7 linked regions of the Oryctolagus cuniculus genome follow. The protein of the gene in region 3 interacts with the protein of the main gene of each other region in a pairwise test. Links are inferred from orthologs where the notes say so. Each region holds a gene or a part of one and is shown on either strand. Other genes may lie near its edges. The genes, in order: SETX, EXOSC9, UBE2I, RNF4, RAD51, ADARB1 and MAPK1IP1L.

What was found.
Region 1: the proteins of UBE2I (region 3) and SETX interact in binary tests that used the Homo sapiens proteins (3 or more experiments, as listed by UniProt). The link is inferred for Oryctolagus cuniculus from reciprocal best matches to the Homo sapiens genes UBE2I and SETX.
Region 2: the proteins of UBE2I (region 3) and EXOSC9 interact in a two-hybrid assay, tested with the Homo sapiens proteins (2 studies listed by BioGRID and IntAct). The link is inferred for Oryctolagus cuniculus from reciprocal best matches to the Homo sapiens genes UBE2I and EXOSC9.
Region 4: the proteins of UBE2I (region 3) and RNF4 interact in a two-hybrid assay, tested with the Homo sapiens proteins (3 studies listed by BioGRID and IntAct). The link is inferred for Oryctolagus cuniculus from reciprocal best matches to the Homo sapiens genes UBE2I and RNF4.
Region 5: the proteins of UBE2I (region 3) and RAD51 interact in a two-hybrid assay, tested with the Homo sapiens proteins (3 studies listed by BioGRID). The link is inferred for Oryctolagus cuniculus from reciprocal best matches to the Homo sapiens genes UBE2I and RAD51.
Region 6: the proteins of UBE2I (region 3) and ADARB1 interact in a two-hybrid assay, tested with the Homo sapiens proteins (2 studies listed by BioGRID and IntAct). The link is inferred for Oryctolagus cuniculus from reciprocal best matches to the Homo sapiens genes UBE2I and ADARB1.
Region 7: the proteins of UBE2I (region 3) and MAPK1IP1L interact in a two-hybrid assay, tested with the Homo sapiens proteins (3 studies listed by BioGRID and IntAct). The two-hybrid records come from large-scale screens. The link is inferred for Oryctolagus cuniculus from reciprocal best matches to the Homo sapiens genes UBE2I and MAPK1IP1L.

What each region holds. Positions count from the first base shown.
Region 1 is NC_091432.1:234,563,532-234,567,249, reverse strand, and holds part of SETX (probable helicase senataxin), read left to right. Parts: intron 1-163; coding exon 164-262; intron 263-2,148; coding exon 2,149-2,236; intron 2,237-3,718. UniProt on the Homo sapiens protein: Probable RNA/DNA helicase involved in diverse aspects of RNA metabolism and genomic integrity.
Region 2 is NC_091439.1:43,254,409-43,258,755, forward strand, and holds the start of EXOSC9 (exosome complex component RRP45), read right to left. Parts: upstream 2,953-4,347; 5' UTR 2,838-2,952; coding exon 2,772-2,837; intron 2,449-2,771; coding exon 2,354-2,448; intron 1,730-2,353; coding exon 1,610-1,729; intron 1,473-1,609; coding exon 1,370-1,472; intron 1-1,369. UniProt on the Homo sapiens protein: Non-catalytic component of the RNA exosome complex which has 3'->5' exoribonuclease activity and participates in a multitude of cellular RNA processing and degradation events.
Region 3 is NC_091450.1:33,712,220-33,716,383, reverse strand, and holds the start of UBE2I (SUMO-conjugating enzyme UBC9), read left to right. Parts: upstream 1-1,260; 5' UTR 1,261-1,526; intron 1,527-1,709; exon of another isoform or gene 1,710-1,866; intron 1,867-2,013; exon of another isoform or gene 2,014-2,166; intron 2,167-3,660; 5' UTR 3,661-3,669; coding exon 3,670-3,735; intron 3,736-3,819; coding exon 3,820-3,903; intron 3,904-4,164. UniProt on the Homo sapiens protein: Accepts the ubiquitin-like proteins SUMO1, SUMO2, SUMO3, SUMO4 and SUMO1P1/SUMO5 from the UBLE1A-UBLE1B E1 complex and catalyzes their covalent attachment to other proteins with the help of an E3 ligase such as RANBP2, CBX4 and ZNF451.
Region 4 is NC_091433.1:1,253,821-1,258,015, forward strand, and holds the start of RNF4 (E3 ubiquitin-protein ligase RNF4), read left to right. Parts: upstream 1-1,337; 5' UTR 1,338-1,497; intron 1,498-4,195. UniProt on the Homo sapiens protein: E3 ubiquitin-protein ligase which binds polysumoylated chains covalently attached to proteins and mediates 'Lys-6'-, 'Lys-11'-, 'Lys-48'- and 'Lys-63'-linked polyubiquitination of those substrates and their subsequent targeting to the proteasome for degradation.
Region 5 is NC_091443.1:63,837,751-63,842,157, forward strand, and holds the start of RAD51 (DNA repair protein RAD51 homolog 1), read left to right. Parts: upstream 1-1,514; 5' UTR 1,515-1,776; intron 1,777-4,407.
Region 6 is NC_091435.1:1,560,245-1,564,460, reverse strand, and holds the start of ADARB1 (double-stranded RNA-specific editase 1), read left to right. Parts: upstream 1-1,324; 5' UTR 1,325-1,506; intron 1,507-2,923; exon of another isoform or gene 2,924-2,945; intron 2,946-4,216. UniProt on the Homo sapiens protein: Catalyzes the hydrolytic deamination of adenosine to inosine in double-stranded RNA (dsRNA) referred to as A-to-I RNA editing.
Region 7 is NC_091443.1:21,422,472-21,426,189, forward strand, and holds part of MAPK1IP1L (MAPK-interacting and spindle-stabilizing protein-like), read right to left. Parts: intron 2,835-3,718; 5' UTR 2,831-2,834; coding exon 2,813-2,830; intron 1,808-2,812; coding exon 1,109-1,807; intron 118-1,108; coding exon 106-117; 3' UTR 1-105.

The sequences.
Region 1 (3,718 bases), on a different chromosome or scaffold from region 3:
GACAGACAGCAGAGTGGTTAGTGATTCTCACAGCCTGGGGTGAGGGTGAAACGGGGACTAATGGCAAAAGTACCATGAAAAATATTTCTCAAACACTATTAAACTAACATGTGCATTGAGTGACTTTTGTACTTGGGTAAGTGTGTTTCTCTTGGGTGTTTAGACCGGCGGAAGTAGATACTGTGGATGCGTTCCAGGGCCGGCAGAAGGACTGTGTCATTGTCACGTGTGTCAGAGCAAATGCCTTGCAAGGCTCAATTGGGTGAGTGACCTGTCACTGCTTTGTTCACTTGTTTATCATCCAGGACTAGATCATTGCCGATCCTGCTGCAGAACACCGTCGTTCGCTTTGTTTTCTGGTGAGATCTTGTGTAGCAGCATGAGGATGTCTGACTTGGAGACCTGTTAATTCTGCTTTCCCTGCTGTCTGCCATAGGAGAGGACTTGGCAAAGTTCATGGAAGAGTGAATGAAATTAGGAGATGTTTATTTTGCTGAAAAATATTTTTAAATCCATAGTTTTTTCATAAGTGAAATAAATAATTGGGTGACGCATATTTTGCAGGGGTATGCTACTCTTTTTTTTTTTTTTTTTTTTTTTTAAAGATTTGTTTTGTTTACTTTGAAAGAGTTACAGAGAGAGGTAGAGCCAGAGAGAGAGAAGTCATCCATTCCGCCAGTTCACTCCCCAAATGACTGCAAAGGCCAGAGCTGAGCTGATCTGAAGCCAGGAGCCAGCAGCTTCTTCTAGGTCTCCCACGCGGGTGCAGGGGCCCAAGCACTTGGGCCATCTTCCACTGCTTTCCTAGGCCACAGCAGAGAGCTGGATAGGAAGTGGAGCAACCGGGACTAGAACCAGCGCCCATATGGGATGCCGGCACTGGAGGCTGGGGTTTTACCCGTGTGCCACAGCACCAGCCCCATGGGTATGTTACTCTTCATGGCGTGTGTCCTGAGGTGGTGTCTTTCCTGCTTTGCCTGGGTTTGTTCTCTTTAGCTGCTGTCACTTAACTTGCTGAGGACACTCCCAGGGATGGCAGGAACGCCTTTAGTCTCTAGGAGTCTGTGTGGTGGTGTTCTCACTCATGCAAGGCAGGTAGGATGTACAGGTGGTCAACCTGTTTGACTATTCCTTCAGAAAATAAAACGTAAGTGCTCTCCGCTCCGCTGGGATGGGATGGGCCGCCTGCCGTGCGGAGCCCGGTTCCCACAGGACCATTTCCTGAAAGTGTGTCTGTTTCTGTGCTAGTTCGCAGTGTTCTAACAACACGAACACGCGTTTACGTTCATGAGTACATGAGCTTGTGTACTCTTAGAGAAGGTTTTTGAGGGACAGTGAGACAGAGACTGATAGAGAACAGGCTGTCATCTGCCAATGGAGTCCCCTGCTGCCTGCCGCATCCGCCCTGGGCTGGGGTCCGAGTGGCCAAGCCGGAACTGGGCTCAATCCAGGTCTCCCGCGTGGGCGGCAGAAGCAGTCCCTCCGCCGTGCTGCTGCCTCCTGGGGCCCTCGTGAGCAGGAGCTGGAGCCGGGTGTCCAGTCCAGGTGCTCCGATGCTGTGATGCAGGATCTTAACCACTCGGCTGATTGCCTGCCCCTGGGGTTATTTCTAAAACCTAAAGTCCTACTGTTCAAGTAGAATTTCTGGGGCCGGCAGTGGGTCAAGCCCGTCTGCAGTGCCAGCACCTGGCTGTCCGCCTCCGATCCAGCACCCTGCCGATGGCCTGAGAAAGCTGTGGAAGGATGGCCCACGTCCTTGGGCCTGCACCCAAGCCCGAGGCTTGAAGGGTGTTCAGGTTCCTGGCTTTGGCCTCGCCTGGCCCCGGCCGTTGCAGCCGTTTGGAGAGTGAACCAACAGATGGAGGATCTGTCTCTACCTCTACCTCTCCCTCTCTTTGTAACTCTGCCTGTCCAATAAAATGAGGACATATTTTAGAAAAAAAAATTTCTAGCATCGTATCACAGGCAAAATAGGAAGCAGACACGGCGCCCTGCTTGGTCTGTTCTGCCTTCGGTGGGAGTCGCTCCTGCGCCAGGGTTCCCCGTGCTTTCTAAGGCAGTGGCGGGAGCGCTGGAGAAGCCGTGTGAAGTACCGCCCGCCTGCCTCAGCCGTTCTAGACCAAGAAGAGGCTCTCTCTCGTTGCTTAGGTTCCTGGCCAGTTTGCAGAGAATGAACGTCACCATTACGCGAGCCAAGTACAGCCTCTTCATCCTTGGACATCTGAGGACCCTTATGGTAGGTACATGCTCGGGACCACAGCGGCGCCAGAGTGTGCCCTGCTTCCTGTGTCCCCCGCACCGGAGCGAGAGGGCGCGTCAGTGGGCACAGGAGCGAGAGGGCGCGTCAGTGGGCGTGGCTGACCACCCGGGGGCGTGGGAGGGACGGGCGCTCGTTGGCTCGCTTGGGGCGCCCAGTGCGGCTGTGCTCGGGGCTCCCCCTCAGCGCGCAGGGCTCCAGTGGCTCTGAGCGCCTAACCCTCGCTCACTGCCGTCCCCACGGTGGTTAGTGCCAGCAGAGGGCGCTCAATACACGTTCTCGCCTGCACCGGAGCCCTGTGCCTGCTCTGGGTCCAAGCGCTGTAGCCTTTGTTTTATGTACTTCTGTTTTTAAGTTATCAAGAAAATGTCACCGTAAGTTTAAATGCCACTACAGATGGATTTTAGACTGTTGTCGCCCTTAGCTGCAGCAGAAGGACAGAAAGATGGCAGTTCTGCCTCTTCCTGTCTCTGAGATTGTCTCCACTCCTGTTCGGGGCGGGGTCCGTGGGTGGTCTGTGCTGTGGCTGGGGCCCTTCTGCCGTCTCACCGTGTGCTCTGCGCAGATGGGTGCGGAAACGGGCAGTTGTTTCATAGCTTCGAGAAAACTATAAAGGGTGCGTAACTTCCTGTAAATTTGTAGTTGTGTCAAAATATTTTTTAGAAGTTATTTTTCCTGTGGCCATTGGAGCTGAGTGTTGAGAAAATCCGGTTTCTTGCAGGCGGGCTCGCGTGCCACAGTTGTGTGCACAGTTGAGCAAAGCGCGAGAGAGATTGGTGGTGACGCTTACGTTTGCAGAGTAAAGCGTCCCTGCAGGTTGGTCCCTTGGGTCTTGCTGGCAGGGTCTCCACACACAGCAGGAGTCGCGTGCCTGGTGGTGCAGCCTGAGAGCAAGCAGGGGGGAGCGTGAGGCGGCAGGACAGCCCGAGGGGGCGCAGGGAGCTGGTGTGGAGACGGCTGACACCCCGTCCTGGGCCGCTCTCCACTGCCCGCGGCTGGAGGAGGGCGGTGCCGTGACGAGAAGCCAGCTGCCTCCCTCACACTCGCCATCCGGCGTCCCAGCCTGTTCTTTCGTTCTTTTACTTAACTTTTTTTAAAAGATTTATGTATTTATTTGAAAGGCAGAGCTACAGGGAGGCACAGAGAGAGAGAGAGAGATGTAGAGACAGAGAGAGAGGTCTCCCATCCGCTGGTTCACTCCCCAGATGGCCACAATGGCCAGAGCGGCAGCAATCCTGAGCCAGGAGCCGGGAGCTTCTTCCGGGTCTCCCACGCGGGCGCAGGGCCCAAGCACTGGGGCATCTCCCACTGCTCTCCCAGGCCACAGCACAGAGCTGGGTCAGAAGTAGCTGGGTCTTGACATCGCCCGGATGGGATGCCAGCACTGCAGGCGGCGTCTCCCCGCTATGCCACAGCGCCGGCTCCAAGAGAGTCCTCACGTGTTAGAATGAGAGCTGGGCC
Region 2 (4,347 bases), on a different chromosome or scaffold from region 3:
AAAAATATACGTAGAAAAATTTTACGTTAAAGAAACATTTTTGGGGCTGGCGCTGTGGCATAGCGAGTAAAGCCACTGCCTCCAGTGCCCACATCCCATATAGGAACCGGTTTGAGTCCCAGTTGCTCCACTTCCAATCCAGCTCTCTTCTATGGCCTGGGAGAACAGTAAAGGATGGCAAAGTCCTTGGGCCCCTGCACCCTTGTGGGAGACCCAGAAGAAACTCCTAGCTCCTGGCTTCAGATCGGTGCAGCTCTGGCCATTGTGGCCCATTGGGGAGTGAACCAGCAAATGGAAGACTTCTCTCTCTCTCTCTCTCTGCCTCTCCTCTTTCTGTGTAACTTTGACTTTCAAATAAATAAATAAATCTTTAAAAAAAAACCTTTAATACCAACAGTTTACTTTACTATTTGAGTCACTTAGCAACAATATGAATATCCTAAACAAAACCACTCTACCATCTAAATTTAATATTTTCCTAACTCTAAACCTGAGTATATTTCTATTTTACCTGCTAACTTAAAAACTTCAAATTCTGGGGCCAGCACTGCGGTATAGTAGGTAAAGCTGCTGCCTGCACCACCAGCATCCCATAAGGGCACTGGTTCAAATCTTGGCTGCTCTACTTCTGATCCAGCTCCCTCCTAATGTGCCTAGGAAAGCAGCAGAAGATGGTCCAAGTCCTTGGGCCCCTGTAGCCACGTGGGAGATCTAGAAGAAGCTTCTGGCTCCTGGCTCAGCTCTGACCACTGCGGCTATTTGCAGAGTGAACCAGTAGATGGAAGATTTCTCTTGTCTCTCCCTCAGCCCTGTAAACTCTGCCCTTCAAATAATTTTTTTTAAAAAATCACAGTTGTATTATCCTCATACAGCACAATTTATGGAGACAAAGATTTCCAATGTCAGCCATACCACTGACACTGTGTATATCAATAACCTACCCACATGAAGGATTTGGGTTTGTTTATAAGTTGTTCGTCCCATTGAAAAGGAAAACATTATCAATAGACTTAACGTGAGAAAATAAAAGAGAGATGATATGAAAGAGTCACAAGTTCTTTAAATTAAATGGTTCAACATATATCCAAGTTGCTATTCTTCACCCTTTAAAAAAAACAACAGGGATGGTACAAAGTTCCAAGAATAGTACTCAGAAAGTGAACCAGTATAAATCTAATCAACTAAGTTCTGAAAATCATAGTAATAGAGACCAATAAATCAACAATATTCACCCTAAGATTAATAATTTTGGGTATATGGCCATTGTGGCCATTTGGGGAGCAAATGAGCAGATGGAAGCTCTCTCTCATTCTGACTTTTAAGTAAATAAAGCTTTACCAGAAAAAGAATCTTAGGTATATTTCCCCACCTTTTCACCAGCAACAACACAGAGAGACTCAGTATCCATACACTTCGAATTTCTTAGACATCTTTCCAAGAGTCGATTCAACTTCACCAAAAGATCGGACTGCCTAAGAAAACAGGAATGGGTTGATGTCATGAAATATAATACCATTACATTATACATTATATTCATAAGGCACTAAAACAATAGCTTACTGTTATTAGATTCTCCTATGGTGAAAGCTTAAGAAAAAGATTTAAGTACCTGCCAGGTTCAAAAGCCGGGGCAGCCATCTGAGAGAGCTCAAGGTTACAAAAAAGAATACCTTCTGTTGCTCTATTGAGTTTTGGAGCAACAAGTTCACAGGAAACCTGTCCAAGAACTCTGTAAAGATAAAGGCACAAAGCAGTTTGCTAAATATATTTCCTTTCCAATTAAAAAAAATCTTAGACAACATTGTCTTACTCTACGTAATGCTATACTCAGAACGATATATTCTGAAGCAGAAATTACATATGGAATATATGCAGAGATAAAGGATACACTCTTATAACAAAATTTACTATTTCACAGACTTAGAAGGAAATCAATGACCTTTACTTCTTCCTGAAACGAGTATTTATCAATACAAAATGTCATGGAAACTAGAATTCTTAAGGGTTTTCACATGGCATGGTTTAGCAACATTATCTGACCAAATAGCCTCAAAAGTTTCAAGTGAATATTAAAAACCTAGTTTTCACGTCACTCAGGAAAAAGAGGAATGTGGGACCTATTAGTGCCAAAATGCTCGCAATCTCTACATCCCTCACTCTCTACGGTGAAAGGAGTTCAGGAAACAAATACAAAGTAACCACTGCTGGTCACCTACATGATTTGTAGAGATCAGATACTCATGAAGAAAAGATGTTCAGGATTAAAAACTTAAGGCATGACCACAAAGTACTGTCCCGACTTCTGTGCTAACCACTCCTTGTTGAATCTGTCGTCTAATCTGAACTCTCTTACCTTGTTTTCCCAAGTTCCACAATACAGCACCCATAATCTGTCCCAAACGAGATCCTTATGTTCCTATAATCGTAGGTCTGTCTGCCATCCAGCCGCTGTAAGCACAACATTCATTCTCTTATTCCTTCAACAAGTATTTCTTGAGCAATTACTATGCGTCCGCCCTGGAGCAAAGTGGGATCTTAACCACCCCATCCCGCTAGGAGAGCGGAAGCTAGATGCCCAAGCACTGGAAGTTGCTGGGACGACTCACGCCTCGAAAAGAACCCGTTGGGGTGACATATCGCCTGAGAGGCTGGGGGAACATTCCGGCTGGTTCCCCAGGGCCTCCTGCGGCCCACGCTGGTAAAGTCTGCGAGTTCACCCCGTGTGAGCTGAGCGCCCGCGCGGCGCGCAGTTTCGCGGGGGGGCCGTTTACCTTCTTCTCTTCAATGGCACGGAGTAGGAAGCGGCGCTCGCAGTTTGAGAGTGGCGTTTCCTTCATGGTGTAAGCTCACGGGCCCCACGGGCACCAAAATCCGTGAGGAAACGCGAAGACTCTAGACCCGCGCTCCGCTCGCTCTGCGGCGAAGGAGATTTGCGTCATCAGGGCGCGACGGCTGCGGGTGGGAAAGCTGGGGGCTTGAGCCGTCGCTAGTGCGCAAACTCCAAGCCTGGCTGGGTTCTTCCGAGGGGCACTGGAGCTGCAGAGGCGGCTTAGAGACGGGTGTTTCCGACCTTAAAGTCGGAAGGTTCCTTTAAGGTAAAGTGCCAGGGGCTTAAAAGACGCACACGATAGCCACGTGGTTGACAGACAATAGCATGAGTAGACCACTCTCACACTCTGCCGTTCCTCAGTCCCGGCGCGGGCGAGGCTGCAGGGGTGTTACTGCTGTTTCACTGATGAAGGCGTTGATGCTTGGCCACTAGAAAGCTCCAGAGGAGGGTTTGGAGCAGGTACCGTGGAAAAACACTGGACACAGGGCGCAAAAGAGACAAGCGGGATTGGGAGAAGACAGTCGCGGCGGTGAGCTGGGACGTTCCTGCTGGCTGAGGTGAAACAGATCTAAGAAGCTGACAAGATTCGAGGTCGTTCCTGCGTTGTGTTATCGCCGTGGGCTGAAACTACACTGTCCATAGGCTTATTGTTAGGGGCAGACAGAAGCCTTGTTGTGGCTGTGCTGCCAAGCGCTCAGCTTTTTTGGAGAGAAAGATTGTCAAATAGCAGTAGCTTCCTCCTATGAAAGCGGTGGAAGATAGCTCAGTACTGGGGCTGCTGCCACTCACAGGGAAGACCCGGATGGAGTTCCGGGATCCTGGCTTCCACCTGACCCAGCTCCAGCTTCTGTGGACAAGGGAGTGAACCAGCCAGCGAAGATTCTCATTATCTCGTTTTCTTTCTTTCTCTCCCCCACCCCCACTCTGTTGCTCTGCCTTTCAAATAAATAGAGCTAATAGAGGTTTTAAAAACAAAAACAGGAACTCGAAACTGCCCAGATTCGTATTCACATTGTGCCATCCACTAGGTCTGTGATCCTGGACAAGTTATTTAGCCTAGATGATTCACAGTACTCAGTTGCAAAATAGGGATGATAAGTTATTATGAGGAATAAAACCTAATTAGGACACATAAAATGCTTAGAGCAGTGCTTGGCTAAGCACTATTTGCTTTGTATTTTGTTTCCCTTTGCTTTGCATGTGGTAAGCATCACAACTCCTACATAAAATCGATTCCTCTCTTTTATCTCTTCTCACACTTTGTTTTAGTGAGATTAGATTTTAGTTTCTACCTCTTGCTGTCTAACCTAGGTACTCAATATTTAAAGACGGTTTACTGTGTCCCAAGAATAACTCCAGGGCTAGGTTTAAAAAAAGGGGGGGGGGTAGACAAGATCCTTTCTTTCAAGAAATTTGTTTCTTTAGAAGAGACAAAAACTTAACTAAATAGAACAATTTCAGACCCCTATCAGTGCTGAGAATGGGAATCTGGCTGGCTGGCTAGCTCACTAGGCTAA
Region 3 (4,164 bases):
CGCAGGTGCGCGAGGCCCTGTCTGGAGACGGAAGTGAGGCAGCCGAGGCCCAGGCGGGAGCGCGCGGCAGGTGCGTCCCGCATCCGGGCGGGGCGCGGCTCTGGGGCAGGGACAGCGCTGCCCGCGGTCACCAGGCGGTGGGCAGCGAAGGGCGTCCAAGGGCGGCCACGGGGAGGAGGGCCCGGCCTCCGCTCCCCCCGGGACACAGCCTCTCTGCGCGCTCCTCCCTGGGCGGGAGTGCGAGGCGGGGTGGGCCCGCGGTCGCCGGCTGTCCTGGGACGCACACTCCCCCCCCCCCCGAGGGTGGGCCCAGACCCCGGCTCCGCCCCCGGCACGGGGTCGGGACGCACCTGTTCTCGGGAGTTCTGGGTTTTGCTCAGGTGTGGATTTCTGACCAGCCCCCCAGCCCGGATTTGTGGGTGATCTGTGGAGGGCTGCCCCCCAAGGCGGGGCCGGGGCCCTCACCCCCCCCCCCCAGCCTCAGTGTGTCCTTTGAACCTGGCCCATCTGAGGTGGGTTCCCTGCCCCAGGTGTCCCCGTGTGGAGGACCGCGGATCCGGGACCCCTGAGCTGACCCCCTCCCACCTGCAGACCTGGGCCCCCCAGCTCCCCCTCCCCACAGACCTGGGCCCTACCCCCCCCACCTGCAGACCTAGGCCCTGCCCCCCACCCCTGCCCATTGGGACCCCAGGGCCGCGGTCCAGCGGCTTCTCCACGGCCACACAGCCCAGCGCAGACCGCGGGGAAGCTGGGACCGGGACCTAGGGGCGCGGGGAATGAGGGGCGTCTCTGCCCCCTCGGGGGTCTCCGCCGCTGCCGCCAGGCCTGTCAGCCACGTTCCGTGTCCCGGCAAACCAGAGCTGCGAAGGCTGCGGACGGCGGAGCCTGGAGGAGGGCGTGAATGAGTGCCTTCCAGGCCCTCTGCGGCCGACCCCATCGCCTGGCCCCGGGCGCCCACCGCGCCGACGGCTCGGACGGCGCCCTAGCCCCAGGGGCGACCCCGCCGTGCCCGCGCGGGACGGCGCGGACCCGCGAACCGCGCGCTCGCGCTCGTGGGACGAGACCGCGCGCGGGAATCCCGGCGCGCCCCTCCCCCAGGCGGGACGGCCCCGGGCTAGGGAGCGTCGGCGCTTCTCCTCCCGTCGGTCTGGCGAGCGTCCGGCCTTCCGTACGGCGTCAGCTGATTGGGCGGATCTGGACGATGCCCCGCCCAGGCCCCTGCATTGGCCAATTGCAGGGGGTTTCACAGGACGCCAGACTCAGGGGATTGTCGCCGTCCTGCGCCGTTTCGGGCATCCGTAGGCCTCAGTGGTCTTTGCCCCCCGGCCCCGGGCCCCGGCCCCAAGGAGACCTCCGGAACCTACGCGCTGAGACGCGCCCGCCGGGCATCCGGGGAGCCCTTGAGGAACGCGGCGCGCCCCTTCCCCGGCTGCTCGCCGGCGTATCCTCGAGTGCGCCCGCCCGCCCCGAAGGAGAGTTTGCAGACGCTCCCTCACTTCGAGGACGCGGCTCCTTTAAGAGCACAGGTGTCCAGGGCGCCGCCTGACTGGAAAGTCGCCCCCGGGCCGGGCTCCCCGACGGGACGCGGGACGCGGGCGCGCGGCGGCGGGGCGCGGGCGGCGAGGAGCGCGCGGGGCCGCGGGCGGCGCGCGGCGCGGCGCGGCGGCGGCGGCGCGCGGCGCAGGCGTGCGGCGGGCAGCCCCGGGCCAGGCCCCGCCCCGCCGCCCCGCCCGCGCCGGGGTCCTCGGCGCTCGGGGCTGCGCGCGGAGCGGGCTCCGGAGGGAAGTCCCGAGACAAAGGGAAGCGCCGCCGCCGCCGCTCGGCCCCCGCTCGTCCGTGACGCTCGCCGGGCCGCGGCCGCCCGAGGTGAGCGGGGCCGGGCGGGGGGCCTCGCGGGCTCGGGCCGGGCCGTCGGCGGCCCGCGCGGGGCGCGAGGCGGGCGCCGCGGCCTTCCGGGCGGCGCGCGGCCTCGGGGTCACGGCGGCCGCCCGGGCCGCGCCTTCCTCGGGCCGCGGGGCTCGCGGGGCCGCCCGGGAGGGCGCCGGGAGCGGCCGGTTGCGGACCAGCGGGCGCGCGGGGGGCTCCGCCGCCGCCGAGGGAAGTTTTCCTGCGCGGCCGAGAGCGCCCCGCTCGCCACGGGCGGCGGGCGGCTCCGTGCCGGCCAAGGTGAGGCCGTGGCCGCGGCCCCCAGCCCCCTGCCCCGCCGCGGGGGTCGCGCGTCTTCGGGGCCCGGAGCGCGCCCGGCCCTCCGTCCGCCTCCCGGGGCCTGTGTGGGCCGCCTGCCCCGCGCGGCGCCCCGGCCCTCTCCCGCAAGGCCGCTGGCCAAGCCCGCCGCTGTGCCTTTGTCTGGCGGGGCGCGGGGGTCCCGGGACGGGGGTCGGGCGCAGCCGAGGGAGGCGTGGGGTGCATGCCCCAGAGGGCCCGTCCGCGGGTGCGGGAGGGCCGAGAAGGGCCACGGAGGCGGCCGGTGCGGGCCGCGGCAGCCCACCTGTCCAGCGCGGCTGCGTGCTGAGACTGAGGCCGGGCGCCCGGCGCCGAGCAGGTGCGCACCTGTGGCTCGGCCCGGACGGGCAGCGCCGCCCGCCGCGGGGGTCTCTGTGGGCGGAGCTCTTTCGGGCCCAGCACGGGCAGGGGTGCAGTTCTGATGCGCTGGCTCGGGAGGGCGGGTTGCAGCGGGGAGGGTGTGAGAGGCGCACAGGAGCCTTGGGGACCGACGTCGGGCTCCCCGCGGCCCCCAGGCCCCTGCCGGCCCCTGCCCCGTGCTGTGCTGCCTGCTTCCGGGGACCCCAGGGCGCCCGGGGCTGGCTCGCGCGCTGCCCGTGCAGGTGGAGGCTGTGGTGAGCCACAGGCAGGTGTGCTGGGACCGGGCCGCCACGCCTGTTCCCGGAAGGGGCCCGGGCTGGGGCGCCAGGTGCGGGAAGGCGTGGCAGCCTGGCGGCGGCTTCGCCTCTTTAAAGGTTTATTTATTGTCAAGGCAGAGTTAGAGGTCGCGCAGCCGCTGGTTGGCTCGCCCAGACGGCCCCGTCGGCTGGGGCTGGGCCGTGTGGAAGCCGGGAGCCTCTTCTGGTCTCCCACGCGGGTGCAGGGGCCCAAGGCCCTGGGCGTCCCCCCGCAGGGAGCCGGCTGGGAAGTGGAGCAGCCGTGGGCTCAGCCTGCAGCCGTGCGCGGTGTGCGACGGCCGGAGGCGCCGGCACTCAGGAGCCCGAGGACCGTGGTCCTCGTCCGATCGTCTGTGGAGGTCTGGCTCTCCTGGGCTCTCGCCTGCTGGGTTCTGGGATGCCGCCCGCCCCGGGCAGAGCCTCCCCCTCTAACCAGTGCCAGGTGAGCCGTGGAGTGGCTCTGTAGCCAGGGACTTGGAGGGCGACACCCGTGGGTTCCGAGGACGGGGCAGACAGCAGCTGGTGGAGTCCAGGCGCGGCGGCCTGGGCCCTGGGCTGTGGTCCTGGACCTTGAGGGCCGCTGTGGCCGGCCCTGGTCAGGGCGCTGGCCCTCGGGTCCGGGGCGCAGGCGCCCTGCGTGGGGGAGGCCAGGCTGGGGCAGCGGCGCTGGGCTGCCCCCCTCAGCAGCGCCGTGCGCCCGCGGCCTGAGGTGTGGGGCCCTCCCAGCCTGGCGTGACTCGGGCTCGTGGGAGTGGGGCCCTCACGGCGCCCGTGTCCCCAGGACTGGAACATGTCGGGCATCGCCCTCAGCAGACTTGCCCAGGAGAGGAAGGCCTGGAGGAAGGACCACCCGTTTGTAAGCAGAGCCCGCGGGCGGGGGCGGGGGCGGGCGGGGCGGGGCGGCCTGAGCGCCCGGGGACTCCCCTGCTTGTCCACGCAGGGCTTCGTGGCTGTCCCAACCAAGAACCCCGACGGCACGATGAACCTCATGAACTGGGAGTGCGCCATCCCCGGCAAGAAGGGGGTAAGCGGCCGGGGCGGGGGGCGGCGGCAGGACCCCGCGCTGGTGGCTGGTGGCTGCTCCGAGAGGGAGCTTTATGTCTCGCGGTCCCTGACCTGGCAGTGGCCTCAGCTCCAAAGCCCCACCCCTGGCTGGAGAGACTGGCAGGGCCATGCGGGGGGCGGGGGCCGTCTGCCTGCCAGGGTCTGCGTTGGCAGGAGGCTGGGACTCGAACCCAGTTCCCCACGCGGGATGGGGGTTGACCACGTGGCCCAGCTCTCCTCG
Region 4 (4,195 bases), on a different chromosome or scaffold from region 3:
CTGGCGCCCACATGGGATGCTGGCACTGCAGGCGGTGGCTTTACCCGCTACACCACAGCACTGGCCCCATGACTGCCTTTTAAATGAAGGCTCTCTGGCCCCTTTCTGAAAACCAGACCTAGACCTAACCAGAGGTGGAGGAACAGCGTGACAGCTAGTCAGAAGGCAGGGATGATAATTCTGTGTAGCCTTGACAAAATGCCTGTGGGTACTGACCTAACCTCCCACCTGCCTGTCCACCCCTCATAGTAGTTCCTGGAAAGAAAATCCCTCAAGGCCAGACCTAGGGTCCAGATGCTATCTGCAGGGGAGATAAGTGCCCACTGCCTCAACTCAGAGCGAAGTTTAGGAAGGAAGAGCCGGGGCTGGGACTCAGGGGTCCAGCCAGCCTCAGCATCACAGGCCCGGCTCCAGCGCAGGGCCTGGAGCTCCGCGGGGCTCACACCTGCCAGGGCGGTGTGGGGATCACAGGTGAGGGCAGGCTGAGACCCGGGGGCTCAGATGCCCGCAGGAGGCATCCAGGGCTCCGCCCGCGCCCGGGGCTGGGAGGACACCTTTCTCCAGGCCGGTCCTGGGGTGCCTTCCCTGCGGGCCCTCGCCCACCCCTCCTGCCCACCCGGCCCCTGACACCCTGACTCCCCTCCCCAGGCTGCGGGACACCCAGCTCCCTGCTTCCTGCCCAACTCTCTGCTTCTTCCGCCCGGTACTCCGGCTCTTGGCCCCAAGCTCGCTTCCTCTGGACAGCCCTCCCAGACAAGCCGGTTTAGGGCCCCTCTGGGCTCGCCAGTGGGGACTGGGCCCGGTCCTCGCGGGGACGGTGACCGCCCCGCCCCGTCCAGGGCCTGGTACCAGGCGGCGCTGATCCAGGCCCGGCTTCCAGCTCGTGCCCCGGGAATATTCCTCTCCAAGGTCTCGTTAACAGGCAAGGAAACAGGCCCGGGGAGCTGGGCGCAACGTCTGGTCTGGACCAACGTCCAGCTTGACGTCGCCGGCCGGCCTCGTAAGTTAGCGCCATGGTGGCTGCTGTGCGGGGTGGCAGCGCAGGACCGGGACCGTTCGGAGCCCCCTCGGCTCCGGAGAGCGGGTCACCGGGGGTCGGCGGGCAGCTGCCGCGGGCCAAGCGCTCGGACCACCCTCAGACTACAACTCCCGACAGGCCTTGCAGGCGGCGCGGCGCGGACAAGCTCTCTCGCGGGAATGCGGGGGCTGAGGCGCGCGAGCGTGGGCGGGGCCGGAAGCGACGCGGTTCAAAGTGGTAATGGACGTCTTCCTTATCCAATAGAATTGGAAACAGGGCTCCTTCCCCGGCAGCCGCGGGCGAAGGGGAGGCGGCGGCCACTGGGGACGCGCGGGGGGCGGGGCCTGGGCCTCGGGAGCGGAAGTGGACTGCTGTGGAGGCGGCGGCGCCTGGCTCGGGGGCTTCTCCTCAGCGGCTTAGAGGTGCTTCCTCGCTCCAGGACAGTGGCGGCGGTGCCTCCCGGACCGGAGCAGCTCCGAGTAAGGCCCGCTCCTCGGGGAGGGAGCGGCGGCCGGGCCCAGCAGACGCCGCGTTCGCGCGGCCTGTCCAGGCCTCGGCGTCCGCGCCTCCGGCGGCCGCCCAGCGCGGCGCGACCCGCTGCGGGCCCCGTGGCCGGCCGGGCCTGCCGGGACTTCGGGCCGCCTCTGCCCACCCGCCCCGCCGCCTGCGCCGGCGTCCCGAGCCTCGCTGGGCGCGGGAGAGGAGGTCTAGGGGGCTCCCCCGGCGCGGCCGCACGACCGGGCTCGGAACTCCGAGAGGGAAACTGAGGCTCGGGCCGGGGCGCCCAAGGTCACGGGAGAGGCGCCCGGGCCTGCCGGCGGCGGGGAGGCAGTGAAGGCTCGTGTCCTCCTTTGTGCTGGCGCCGCCGCCCGCCGTCGGGGGCCCGCGAGCTCGCCGGAACGCCTGGCCGCGTGGCGGGCGCGCTGCTCGGCTCGGCTGGGCGCGGGGCCTGGAACCGGGGAGCCCGCGCTTCCGGGTGCAGCGTGTGGCCGCCGCCCCGGAGGCCCGTGTAGGAGCCCGCGGCGGACCCCCGGGCGCCCACCAGCGTCCACCTCGGGCGGGGAGGGCCGAGCCTGGGCGAGCCGCGCCTGCGGGATGCAGCTTTTGTCTTCCTGCGGCGCCCGCGGACGCTCGGGGTCTCGGCCTGCGCAGCCGTGCCGGGGTCCTGGGGGGTGAGGCGGGCGGCCCGCGGTCGCACGGTGGAGCCGAGTTCTAGCTGCGGGACCCGGAGTGCGGGCCGTGTGGCCGTGGGAGGCGGCGGCGTTGAAGGGGATTTTTTTGCTCTGGGTCGGTTTTGCTTGTGAGTTTGGGGTCGTTGTGTTGCTTGAACTTGACCTTCCAGTCCTGACCCGGAACCTCACTAATGACGCTTAAGAGGGTCCCGACTGCTCGCCGCCATGACGTTAGGGCCGCGTATATGGGCATACTGTGTGTCTGGTTTTTATTCTGTGAACATCTGTAGAGAAAGGGAGAGACAGATCTTCATCTGTTGGTTCACTCCCCAAATGGCCGCCGTAACCAGGGCTGGGCTGGGTGGAAGCCAGGAGCTTTATCTGAGTCTCCCAAGGCGGCCCAGGGCCCAAGCACTGGGGCCATCTGCTTCCCGGGCGCATTAGCAGGGCTTGGGATTGGAAGTGCAGCAGCTGGGATTCCAGTGGCTTCCATTTGGGAGGCTGAAACTGCTACACCAGAGTGCTGGCTCCTATGGTATGTCCTTTGTGTACTGTACATATATCTGTTCTTTTTTTTTTTTAAAGATTTATTTATTCACTTGGTAGAATTACAGAGAGAGAGGAGAGGTAGAGAGATAGAGGTCTTCCATCTGCTGGTTCACTCCCCAGATGGCTACAACGGCCGGAGCTGCACTGTTCCAAAGCCAGGAGCCAGGAGCTTCTTCCGGGTCTCCCACACGGGTGCAGGGCCCAAGCACTTGGGCCATCCTCTACTGCTTTCCCAGGCCACAGCAGAGAGCTGCATGGGGAGTAGAGCAGCCAGGACTCAAACCGGTGGCCGTATGGGATGCCTGCACTGCAGGCTGCGGCTTTACCTGCTACGCTACAGCGCTGGCCCCCATGTATCTGTTCTTAATACATAAAATAAGTAGGATTTTTCACCCTCTTTCAGAAGACACACTTTAATATTCTGAGCACAGTTTTGAAGCAAACAGTAGTGGATTACAACAGTGAACAAAATAGGAATGTGGTGCCTCTCCTGGAGCTAAGGGCTGAGAGACCCAGAAAGTCCCTGACACTGAAGTACAGACTGTGCAGGAAGTGTGGCAAGAGATGGGACAGACTGGAGACACACGCAGGATCCCGAGAGATGGGACAGACTGGAGACACACGCAGGATCCAGAGAGATGAGACAGACTGGAGACACACGCAGGATCCAGAGAGATGAGACAGACTGGAGACACACGCAGGATCCAGAGAGATGAGACAGACTGGAGGCACACGCAGGATCCAGAGAGATGAGACAGACTGGAGACACACGCAGGATCCAGAGAGATGGCACAGACTGGAGACACACGCAGGATCCAGAGAGATGGCACAGACTGGAGACACACGCAGGATCCAGAGAGATGAGACAGACTGGAGACACATGCAGGATCCAGAGAGATGAGACAGACTGGAGGCACACGCAGGATCCAGAGAGATGGCACAGACTGGAGACACACGCAGGATCCAGAGAGATGGCACAGACTGGAGGCACACGCAGGATCCAGAGAGATGAGACAGACTGGAGACACGTGCAGGATCCAGAGAGATGGGACAGACTGGAGACACACGCAGGATCCAGAGAGATGGCACAGACTGGAGGCACACGCAGGATCCAGAGAGATGAGACAGACTGGAGACACATGCAGGATCCAGAGAGATGAGACAGACTGGAGGCACACGCAGGATCCAGAGAGATGGCACAGACTGGAGACACACGCAGGATCCAGAGAGATGGCACAGACTGGAGGCACACGCAGGATCCAGAGAGATGAGACAGACTGGAGACACGTGCAGGATCCAGAGAGATGGGACAGACTGGAGACACACGCAGGATCCAGAGAGATGGCACAGACTGGAGACACACGCAGGATCCAGAGAGATGGCACAGACTGGAGGCACACGCAGGATCCAGAGAGATGAGACAGACTGGAGACACACGCAGGATCCAGAGAGATGG
Region 5 (4,407 bases), on a different chromosome or scaffold from region 3:
AAAGAGTATGAACAAGGGGTTGGGCGAAAGTGGGTAGTTTTTGTATGGAAAATAGTTTACTGTAATCCTAGGCCCTATCTAAGTTAATCACTAAATTACTAAAGATTTTTCCTAGGTCTAGAATGGCTCTTGAATCTGTTCTCTGTCGATGCCCTAACTTAAGCCTTCAACTCTGGCCTGAAATGTTGCACAAGCTTCTGAATGGATTTTTGCTGTCTCTGCTCCTTCTTGAAATTGTTTTTTAATGCCACGAGATGATGGCAAGAGGATGGTGTGAGCTGTTAACTTTAAAGCACTCAACAAACAGAAAATAGTAGTAGTAGGGGGGAAAGTAAATCTAACCTATGACTCATCTTAAAACTGAATTATTTGGGGGTCAGTGTTCTGACACAGCAGCTAAAAGCGGATGCTTGGGATGCCAGCATCAGAGTGCTTGGGATGAAGTTCTTCCTCTGTTCCCCTCCTCTTCTCAGATTTGTTTTATTCATTTGAAAGGCATAGTTACACAGAGACAGATAGATCTTTCATTTGCTGGTTCGCAGCATAAATGGCGTTAAGGTTAGGAGCTGGGCCAGGCTGAAGCCAGGTGCCAGGAGCTTCATCTCCACAACCTGCTAATGAACCTGGGAGGTAGCAAATGATGGTCCAATTATGTGGGTTCCTGTCACCCTCGTGGGAGACCCTGATGAGTTCGTGGCTCCTGGCTTTGGCCTGGCCCAGCCCAAAGAAAGTGAACCAGCGGATGGAAGAACCCCTTCTCTCTGACTTTAAAAGAAATACTTCGTTATTTCCCAAAGTAAAGACCAAAGCTCCTTACACCTCTTAGCTTGAACTAAATGTAACTTTCCTGGTCTCCATTCTTCCTCATCAGACAACATTATTCCTTGAACAAAGTTTATCCGCAAGCCCACACTGCACTGTTTTTATGTCTTCCACCGCTTGCTTCTTCACCCAAAAACTCTACCCAGCTTTCAAAATCGGAATCACAGGACGAACGTCCTGGTAAACCGTAAGGTTTGCCTTCTCAAATTCTGCGCCTCCTTCCTCTGGGGTCCTGCCAATCTCCAGTAAGTCACTGCAGATGACAGACACGGAGACATTTCTTTCTCCCCTCTGCTAGCTCCATTTTCATCCATCTGCCACAGATTCCTCAACTCCACCCCTGTCGGGGGCCTGGAAAGCGCTCGGCTCCAGGGTACAGCTCCCAGAAGAACCAAAAGCCCACATTCAAAGAACTACAGACACAACCAACAGGTCTCCCGGAAGTCAGAGCGCCCACCGGCGCCTCCCGGGAGATACAGCCCCGGCCCCACCACTCCAGCTCCTGGGAGTTGTGGTCCTCCATCTCGTGAAGACAAGAAGGTGGCGATTTAGAAAGTTTTGATTAGTCCTTGCGTTTAAGGGAGGTGGGAAACTCATAACACCACGCGGTGCCAAGCTCCTCAGCCCTTTCCCTACGGCCCCGAGCTCGGGCGGCCGGCGGAGCGCGAGGGGCGGGGCGGCGCGACGCCGACGCGTGCGTGACGCCGCCCTGAGGGTTTTGGCGGGACTTCCGAAAGCCGCCCCGCAGGACCAGCTGTGTTGACCGGGTCTTGAGGGGAGCTGAAACCTTCCGCTGGTCACGGGGTTGGATTTGAAACTCGCCGAGGTTGTGCGCAGAGGGCCGGAGCAAGGCGTGGACAAGTGGGTCTCGGGTCGGGGCCGAGGCCCTCCGGGGGTCGAGCGTGCGCCGGATCAGCGGACAGAAGCCCGAGCGAGCAACGCTGTTAGGCCCAGGTGAGTGTAAGTCGTCGGCCTGGCCTGTTTCCACGGCCGCGGCTCCTCCTCTCGTTGACCGGGCGCAGACAGGGGCCTGTGCTCCCTCGGCCGGCTTTTGGGATCTGCTGGTGAAAAAACGGAAGATGGCGGAGCCGGGGCGTGCCTGCGCCCAACGGACTTGGGGCTCGTTGTGGAGAGTCCCAGCGGCCGCCTGTCCTGAGCAGTGTAGTCACAGCTGTTTCACGCCGCCTGCATTTCCGTGTTCTGCTCCGTCTGTCCATGACACCATTTTCTGCTTACAAAGTACCAACCTTAAGTTGCCAGAAAGATATTTTCATGCTTTAGATGGAAAAGCATTCATATGGTGCCTAGGAAATTTTCCGAAGTGGGATTTGGCACGCAGAAAGCCTTCTAAAGTGGACTGAAACACAATATAGAAACGCGCACGTCCCAAGCGTATACAGCGATTATTGCAAAATGAATACACCTGTGTAATCATGCATGTCAAACAGAATGCTGTCAGCACCCCAGCAGCCTCTCTTCTGCCCCCTTGTCGCTTATTTTCTCTCTTCTGTTAACCGTGTATACCATTAACGAATACCGGCTGTTTTTGAATTTTGTATGAATGCACCAGAAGTTTTGAGAGTTTACTTTTTCCACATACTTGCCAACACTTGATCTTCGTCATTCTTTTTATTTTTAGGTATTCTAGTAAATAGTAATATTTCATTGTGGCTTAAATTTTAACTTTCCTGATATTGATGAGGTTAGGCATTTGTTCATATGTTTCTTGACCATTTGGACGTCTTGTGAAGTGGCTATTCAATTTCTACCTATTTTTCTACTGATTATCTTTTTCCTCCTGGTTTGAAGGCATTCTTTATATTCTGATTAACAGCCATCAGTTTTATATGGTAAATATTTTCTTTATTTGACTTCTCATTCTCTTAATGGTATCTTGAGGGATAGAAGTTCTGAGTGTAAGTGTAGCCCAGTTTTTCAGTCTTTTCCTTTTTGGTTATCACACTAGGTATCCAGTTGAAGAATTCTTTCTCTTTCCCATGGTTTTTGTTTTTTTTTTTTTTTTTTTTTTTTTTGACAGGCAGAGTGGACAGTGAGAGAGAGAGACAGAAAGGTCTTCCTTTGCCGTTGGTTCACCCTCCAATAGCCGCCGCGGCCGGCGCGCTGCAGCCGGCGCACCGCGCTGATCCGATGGCAGGAGCCAGGAGCCAGGTGCTTTTCCTGGTCTCCCATGGGGTGCAGGGCCCAAGCACCTGGGCCATCCTCCACTGCACTCCCTGGCCACAGCAGAGGGCTGGCCTGGAAGAGGGGCAACCGGGACAGAATCCGGCGCCCCGACCGGGACTAGAACCCGGTGTGCCGGCGCCGCTAGGCGGAGGATTAGCCTAGTGAGCCGCGGCGCCGGCCTTTCCCATGGTTTTATATATATATGTGTGTGTGTATATATATATATATATATTTTTTTTTTTTTGGACAGGCAGAGTGGACAGTGAGAGAGAGAGACAGAGAGAAAGGTCTTCCTTTGCCGTTGGTTCAGCCTCCAATGGCTGCTGTGCTGCGGCCAGCGCACCGCGCTGATCCGAAGGCAGGAGCCAGGTGCTTCTCCTGGTCTGGTTATGATTGTTTTTACCTCTTAAATTTAAATCTGTAATCTAAATTGGAAATTGACTTTTTTTTCTGTGATATGAGAGGGATCAAGTCCATTTTATTCTGCAAGACTACCCAGTCGGCCCAGTACTATTTACTGAGATGACCATCCTTCCCCATTGCTCTGCAGTGAATCTATTTTCATAAATTAGACAGTGGAGGTTTTTCTGTTGCATTCAGCTGATTCTGATACATGGCATTCTTATCAACTCAGTATGCTAAATCTGCTGCTAAGAGATCTGTACTTGAGCCAGACCAGATGGTCATCCAGCATTGTCTGTCAAGCCTCCAAGTGTGGAATTCATCTTTTTTTTTTTTTTTTTTGGTAGAATATACTTATTTATTTGAAAGGCAGAGAGAGAGAGAAGGATCCTCTATCTAGTGGTTCACTCCCCTAAATGGCTGCTACAGCCAGGTCTGAGCCAGGTTGAAGCAAGGAGCCAGGAACTCTATCTTGGTGTTCCATTTGTGTGGCAGGGGGCACAAGCACTTGGGTTGTCTTCCACTGCCTTCTCAAGCACATTAGCAGGTAGCCGAATCAGGAGACAAGATTGACCCTAATATGGGATGCAGGTGTTCGGAAGCGGGTGTTGAACCTGCTGCTCTGTAACATGCCCTGGAATTCCTATCTGTCAGACTGTCCTCAGATGAGAGAGGGTACCTCAGAAAGTTCATGGGAAGTGGAATTTAAAATAAGGAGTTTATTTTGTTGCAAATCAACTTTGAAATCCATGCATAGTTGTTTACATATACACATTTTGTATGTATTAAGGAAGAATTCTTTCAAGTTTTATTTATTTATTTAAAAGGTAGATCAACAGAGAGAGGGTGAGAGAGCTTCAATCTAATGGTTCACTCCCAGATTGCCACAACAGCCACATCTGAGTCAGGCAGAAGCCAGGAGCCAGGAACTCCATCCAAGGGTAGCAGGGCCCCGTGTTTGGGCCATCTTCTGCTGCCTTCACAAGTGCATTAGCAGAA
Region 6 (4,216 bases), on a different chromosome or scaffold from region 3:
CTTTGCTATTTTACCTTCCACTACTCTGTCTCATGCCTGAATTCTTTATCGTGTGAAGACAAGAACCCTGCCATTCACCGGTAACAACTTGACTAAATGCTGCCGGTTTCCCCCAGTCAAACCCAAACCCACTAAGGCCGTGCACGGGTGTGGTGGGGACGCACCCACGAATCTCACAGCCGTTTGCCCATGCAGAGCGACTCACGCGCAGCCTGGCCGGGGCGTCCCATGCACCTTAGCCAAGGAGAGCCGCGGAGACATCAGCAGGGGCCGGAAGCAGGGGTTCATGTTTGCTGTGCTGCTGAGGGGCCGGACGGCCTGACCCTCTTGCAGTATGGCCCAGAAGCAGGGCCTGGCCCAGCCTGACCTGCCCAAGCTGCTGCCCACGGGGTCACAGCGATTGAACAGCTGTGCCACGGCCACAGACACAAAATCCCTGCACACGTGCTTGTCCTCCACGGACGAATCCCTAGGAGGCAGCCCTGCAGTCCCGACGCTGACTCAGCAGTCACCAGGCCCCTCTCGCCACTCCCTGGCAAGGTGAGTGCTTCCTTCACCCGGCTGGCCCCAAAGACAGCCTTTTGTTTTTGTTTTTCCCCTTTTCGCCAGTGGCTGAAGCAGACAAGGGCCCTGGCAGCACTGCCCGGGGGCTGCAGACCGCTGACCTCCCTGGAGGCCACTCTGAAACAAGACCCTGGGTAAGGCCGGCAGCCGGGGGCCTGGTACCAGGCTGGACTGAGCGCTCGCCCTTTGCCCCTGGTTAACAAGCGGGGACGGGGTCGGTGCCCCCCTAGGGTCCCTGCAGCCTGAACTGGAGCCGGGGCCTCGCCGCGGCTCGCCAGCAAGCCGGGGAGGGCGCTCACTGCGCACAGCGCCTGACTGTCGAGCTAAGGCAACCCCGCGCAGCCAGCCGCCATTCAACGGGGTCCCGGGACGCGCCCCGCACTCACAGCCGCCTCGCTCCATTGCGGGCCTGCAGTGCAGGTGCGCCCAGGTGCTGCCCCGCGCCCCGCCCCGGGCACGTGCTCCAGGCCCGGGGGCCCTGGCACCTGACGCGAGCAGACCTAACTCAGGGGCCGCGCGGGCCTCCTCCAACCCCGGGGTCGCCCCGCAGGCCGCGGCACGACACCTGCCCGCCGGCCCCTCGGACCCCCACGCAGCGCCGGCGCACGGGCACTGCCGGAGCGCCCGCAGCCGCAGCCCTCACCACGGCGACCGGCGGTGGCGCGCACGTCGGCGTCACGGCGCCGGCCCCGCCCACGGCGCGCGCGCGCCCGCCCGCCCGCGCGGGGGCGGTGGCGAGGGCGGAGCCGCGGCCAGCGTTGGCGCTGAGGCGGCTGAGGGGCCGTGGCGGCGGCGGCGGCGGCGGCGGCGGCGGCGGCGGCCGAGCGGCCAGGTCGGCGGCCGGGCTCTGGCGGCGCGAGCCACCGGCGCGCCGTGCCGCAGCGCTCGGGGCCGGGCCGGGTCGCAGCTGCGGCGTCGGGCGTCCCGAGCAGGCCGCGCGAGGTGAGGCGGGAGGGCGGGCGGGCTGGCCGGGCACGGCGCCGGGGGCGGCGGGCGCGGCGGGCACCCGGGCCCCGTTTATGTAAGCCGGGAGGACAGGTGCGGAGGCCGACGGCGCTCGCTCGGGGCGGACGCCGCGCGCCGGCCCGGCGCTGTGCACGGGGCTGCGGGGCCGCGGGGCTGCGGGCGGGTCCCGGCGCCCGGGAGTGCAGGCTGCGCCCGGGGCTGGGGTCGCTGCGCCGGGGCTGAGGAGCCTGCGTCCCGGGAGGGCGGGAGGCTGCGGCCCGAGATGGAGAGGGTGCGCCCCAAGGTGGGGAGGCTGCGCCCCAGGGTGGGCGGGCTGCGCCCGCGGTGGAGACGCTGCGCCCCGACACGGGGAGGCTGCGTCCTGGACGGGCGGCGCGTCCCCTCCTGAGGGCACCGTGTCCGCGTGGGAAGCTCCGCGCCGCGGGGCAGGGGGCGTGCACCCGGCGTGGGGCTGCACCCTGCGTTCGGGGGGCGTCCGGCGGGAGGCTCTGCGCCGCGGGCAGCCCGGGGCGGGGAAGTTCCCGCGGCGCTGGCAGCTGCGGGGTCGGGTAGGAGGATGGCCGCGTGGTGGGTGGGTGGGCGGTGCGGAGTCCCGGCCGCGGGCTGCCCGGGGTTTGCGCCGGGTGCTGGGTTCGCAGTTAGCATTTTTAGCCAGCAGGGTTGGCTGCTGCTTCTGATGAAGGCATTGTGGTCGCCGCGAAGCCCGGGGCGCTGTGCCTGCGCCCCGAGTGTCTGAGAGGGTCCTGCTGTGGCACCTGCTGCTGCACTCCGCCTGCGGTGCGGAGCGGTGGAGAACCAGGTTTGCACTTGGTCCTCTTTGTTCTCTCCCACCTTCGCCCGAACCTTTCATTTCTTTGAAAGGTGCGGCCCGCCGGGTGGTCCCGGGAGCCGGCCGGGCCCTGGGAAGGTCCTCTGATGACTGCCTTTCCCCTGGGGAGAGACCGCCCGGCCCCTTTGCCTGCCCAGGGTTTTCTGGGGCGAGGAGGAGAGAGGCAGAGGTGGCTGCTGCGGTGCCTGGGAGGGTGCGGGACCCACCGCAGGCGCTTGATAAATATGGGATGAGACGGCCGGGCTGGGCGCAGAGGCTTTGAGAGGGGCCCGCTGTCTGTGGGCCGTGCCCGTCGGTTCCCGAGCTGGGGCTGTTCAGCCACGTCCAGGTCAGGTTGGCAGGGAAGGAGGAGGCCTTTCTGCGGGGGCAGTGGTAGCGGACGGGCCCCCGGGGCGTTGGGCGCTCACTCCCGGGGCCCTCAGCCTTTGCCTGTTTACGGGTCATAAAGCGTTGCTTGCAGATGTTTGCAGTAAGAGAGTTCTTCGGACTTGAGGCCTGTCTGGTGCATGACTGAAGCGCTCCTAATTCATCTCCCACATGCTGACCGTGGCCTGCCGGGCAGCAGGCTCTCCCGGTGCCGGACAAGGTGGGCAGCGCTGAGAGATGCTGCTGGCAGTTTGTTAGTCACTCACGTAGCGTTACGTCCTAAAAATAAAATTTATAATTTTAGTTGTGAAATTGCACGGTTTTATTTATGGATGTAAAAGTGCCAGTGTGTGCCCCGGGAGGTGTGAACTCCTCGCTCCCAGCCGCAGCCCCTCGCCTGCCTGCCCCTGCTGCTGCGATGGTCGTGGGTTGTCCCTGCCCTAGTCCCTGCCGGCAGTTGTAATGCGGTTTTTAATATTTCCTCTGACAGACAGTGCTACAGTGGCGATTCTTATTCGTGACTGCAAGCAAGACCTACTGATTGTTTTGTGTTAATTATCAAAATTCCTTCACTGTAAGATGTATTAAAGCACTGGGTTTATTCCCTTGAATGCTGTGATTAACTCTGTAAGCACACAGGAACAAAGTGTGTTATTTAATTAGGTGGTGGTTAGAAAGTACATTTAAGAGATTAATAGATGAAGTTATCCACTTACCAGCCTACAAAAAACTTAAGCAAAACGATCAAGCTTATGATCAAACTTAAAGCTGATATCTGGCTTTTTAAAAAGGTTTATTCTTTTATTTGAAAGACAGTGTAATAGAGCGAGGTCTTCCATCCAGTTGTTTACTTCCCAGATGGTCGAGGCTGGGCCAGGCTGGTTCCACCTGGGTCTCCCACGTGGATGGCAGGACCCAGGCACTCAGGCCGTCTCCTGCTGCCCTCCCAGGCACATTAGCAGGGAGCTGGATTGGAAGTGGAACAGCCAGGACTTGAACCAGCGCTTTGATAGGGGTGACAGGGGATGCCGGCGTTGCAGGCGGCAGCGTGATGCACTGTGCCACAGCACTGGCCAGGAGACAGAATTTTAATGGAAAACGTGCTGATTTTCTTTGTAACTTTCTAAAACGTGCTGTGCTACGCTCATTTTCTCTCTGTCTCACTCTGTCTCTCTCTCCCAATCCACCCCAGAAAGCATTTATCAGGCTCCTCTTGCAGCCGGCACAGGACTTAGTTGGGGGCACGTTTTGCCGTAGGTTCAGTTCTGAAGCCAGTGGGGGTTGCCGGTCAGCGTGGCCGAGTTCCTGATGGCCAAGGCCTTAGGGAGGGTGGAGAGTGGCCGCAGGCCTGGGATGTCCCTAGGCCTGGACTAGTGCAGGGACTGACCTCGCCCAGAGCCCTCCTCGGGAGAATGTTCTCGGATCCCTGGGGACCTGGCCCTGCACACAGGACCCCACTGCCGCAGTCAGAGCTAAAATGTGCATTTCGGT
Region 7 (3,718 bases), on a different chromosome or scaffold from region 3:
CATGAATGCCCTCTAACAGTGAAACCAGCAAATGTCATATATGCATTCATGTGCACATACATGTACTTCAAAAAGCAAAGCGTCATCTCTTCATCCACTGTTAACTTAATGGTACGACTGCAATAAAAAAAAGAAAAAGTCAACTTCTAGATTTTATAAATGGAGTTTATTAACTCCTTGCTGTGGCTTTAAATAAATTTAATGCTTAATAAATTCAAACAGCAAGACATCTCACTTAGTTATTTTGGCAAAGACTTTGCAAAGAAAATATTTTAGAGAATATATATAGCAAGTAGTTACACTACTGAAAGGAAGTAGTTTTGGGGGGCATTTTAATAAGAGTTTTTTGCCTTTAGAGCTGAGGTGCATGTCTAATTAATCTAGCTGGAGATGCGATTAGTTATTTGTGGGTTACCAGATCTTTTTTGTCTAAGTAGAGTCTTGAGGTTGCCTCTGGGTCCTCAGTTTACCTCAGGAGCAAAGTGGGGTGCTTTTATATTCAATCAAATGCCCAAGACAAGCTCCCAAACCGAGATGTGAACCCTAGTTCAGCCTGACTGAGGTAAAGCACAAAGTATCACACATGATACGCCAGAGAACAGTGCTATAGTCTTGAGCCCGGTGCAGCTAAGAATTTAACAAAGCTTTGGCTGAGAAACACCACGGAAAACTGCTTGAAAAGCTGGCAACATAACATACTTAATTACCTTGGATGCTCTAAAGTCTACCTCAGTACTAAGCCAGAAAGGCAGAAATTGCTTTTATTTAACTGTTGGTAAAACTACATTAAGATGCTATAAAACATCAAGAAATGTAAGTATCTCGGAGTTTACCTCAAGGATGCTGGCGAGGGAACCACCTACTACATTACAAAGTGTTTGGGATCTTTGGGAAATTTTTGTTCCTATTTTTAGTACTAGGAATACTTAGCTGTGCTTTCCACCTTTTAAATGCTTTACCTGAAGTTGTGGAACTAATTTTATACACACACATCCTTTTAAAAATTCTTACAAGCTTTCTAATCTTTCACCCAAAACTGGGGAAAACAAAATCTATTAGTTGTGTATACAACGATCAGTGCATGTTAAGTAACAAATCAAATACTCACATGGGGGCCACCCGGCATCGGTGGAGCACCAGCAGGTCCTGAAGGCACTTGGAAAGGATTACTGGGGGAAGGATAGAGTCCTGGTGCAGGATACGACCCTGCAGGGGCAGGATATGGTGCTGGCGGTCCCCAGGCTCCTGGTGGAACAGTGCCCCAGGGAACAGGGGGTGCCGCCCCTGGTGCTTGGGGAGGAGGAGCGGGATATGGCCCTGGAGATGGGTATGGCATATTAGGGGTAGGATACTGCCCTCCCATCCCAGGTGCCCAAGGTCCAGAAGACATGGATCCCCATGGACCTAAGGGGCCAGCTGTGGCTGGATCTGTGGGTGCACCATATGGTCTGGGTAGCTCTGGAAAGGGCATATTTGGTGTAGGATATGGCCCTGTGGGCCCAGGGCCTGGCACAGCTGGGGCTGGGTAAGGACCACCAGGTGGGGGGCACGATGGTCCAGAGGGAGGAAAGGGGGCGGGGGGTCCTGGAGGCGGTCCAGTGGGAGGCACGGAGGGGTACATTCCCGTTGGCGCTGGTCCAAAAGGCACGGTAGAGGGGGCTGCACTTGGCGGGAGTCCAGATGGCACTGAAGGTGGAGCGCTTGGGTTATTCCAAGGGTTGGAACCTGGCCAGCCTTGTGCTTGGGCAGGCTTTGTATTGCTCACAGAGGTCTTGGCAGGGGAGTGTTCAGGTAGTGCATCTGCCAACTGAAATACAAAACAGACAGGTCTTATCTGCCTTATTCAGGGACAAGTCACACCAACACAATACAAATACCCAGAGAGAACAATAAACTCAGGGATTAGAAACCTCAATAGCATCTTCAGAAGCTAAGCTATTCACTTAAAAAGCAATTCTTTTGATACAAAACTTGAGGTATTACCATGAATATCAACTTTATAGTGAAAATTCCTCAGAAAAGTTCAAATCTTCTAAATACAACTAAACATGCTGTGTTGCATTTCTGTCATGTGTTAGTAGAACAAATAAATTTTATAAAACAATTGAATTTAGGGTCAAGATCTATATTTCAATCTTGGTTTTATCCCAAACAAACCAAATACGCTCTCTGAGCTTCAATTTTTTTTGTTTTAAAGTTTCAAAGGGCCAGTGAAGCAAATTACAATATCAGAGTGCCAGTTGGAGTCCCAACTGCTCTGCTTCTGATCCAGTTCCCTGCTAATGTGCCTGGGAAAGCAGCAAATGATGACCCAAGAGCCTGGGCCCTTGCTATCCATGTGGGAGACCCAGATGCAGTTCCAGGCTCCTTTGGTCTGGCCCAGCCCTGACTGTTGCGAACATTTGAGGAGCAAACCAGCAGATGTCAAAACCTCTCTCTCTCTCTCTGCCCCTCACTCTGTAACTCTTTCAAATATTTAAATAAATATATTTTTAAAAGTCTCAAGTAAATAACCTGCACTTAACTTAGTGCCTGCTATAATTTCAATAAATGTTGCATATTATTAATATTATGATAAATAAGAGCAATAGAAGCAATACCTTAAAATTTTTCTTTTAAGGATTCATAAACAAATAAATACCAAGATATTTTCAACTATGTATTATCAAAGTAAACTGACGCAAATTACCTATCAATATCATATGACAAAAACAAATCCAAGAATCACAAAAAGCATCTCTTTTAAATGGCTCATAGGACTATACTGTTTTCTTAAGAACAAAACTTATCAAGGATAAATGTGCCAACTTACCGAAAACTCATCAGACATTTTCCTAAAGAAAAAAAAAAAAGAAAGAAACTTTCAAAATTACTGTTTATCACTTCTTATGTATTTTTCAAGCACTTTTCTATGCATACATTATGCATAGATAAGGAATATTCTATGAATACATATAAATGATGGAATCTTCATCATTTATGTATTTTCATTTACACAGGAAAATTTCCCATAACAGTTCATTACAGCACCATCAACTTCATCCCCTTTAATGGCTGAACATCACACAAAAACAATCCATAATTTAGTTTACAGATACTCTGACAGCTGAGGCTGCTTAAAGAATGATACAAGGAACATCTCTGAACACTCACATCTGCTGTGCCACCAGGAAAAAGCACCGGAAGTCGAATTTAGAGTCAAAAAGTTAAATTTAGCTAAAATCCATCTGAAAAGTCTGTCAATTTATACTGTCACCTTTTTCTCTAACTCCTCTTTCACCATTGGATATTACTATATTTATAAATCACCTTAAATTATCATTAAAAAATTGGTGTATTGGGATCAACATAGTGGTACAGCAGGTTAAGCCATCACCTGCTATGTGGGCATCCTATATGAGCAGCTGCTTCAGGTCACGGTTGCTCCACTTCCAACCCAGCTCCCCACTTGTACGCCTGGCAAAGCAGTGGAAAATGTCCAAGTCCTTAGGCCCCTGTACTCATGTGGGGACTCAAACAAAGTTTCGGGCTCCTGGTTTAGGCCTGGCCCAGCCCCTGTCGTTGTGGTCATTGGGGAGTAAACCAACAGATAGAGGATCTCCTCTCTGTCACTCTGCTTCTCAAAGAAATCAATCATTTTTTTAAAAATGGCATCTTGTTTCAACTTTCATTTCTTTAAGTGGAAGTTAGAACATCTTTTAAAACGAATAGCCCAAGG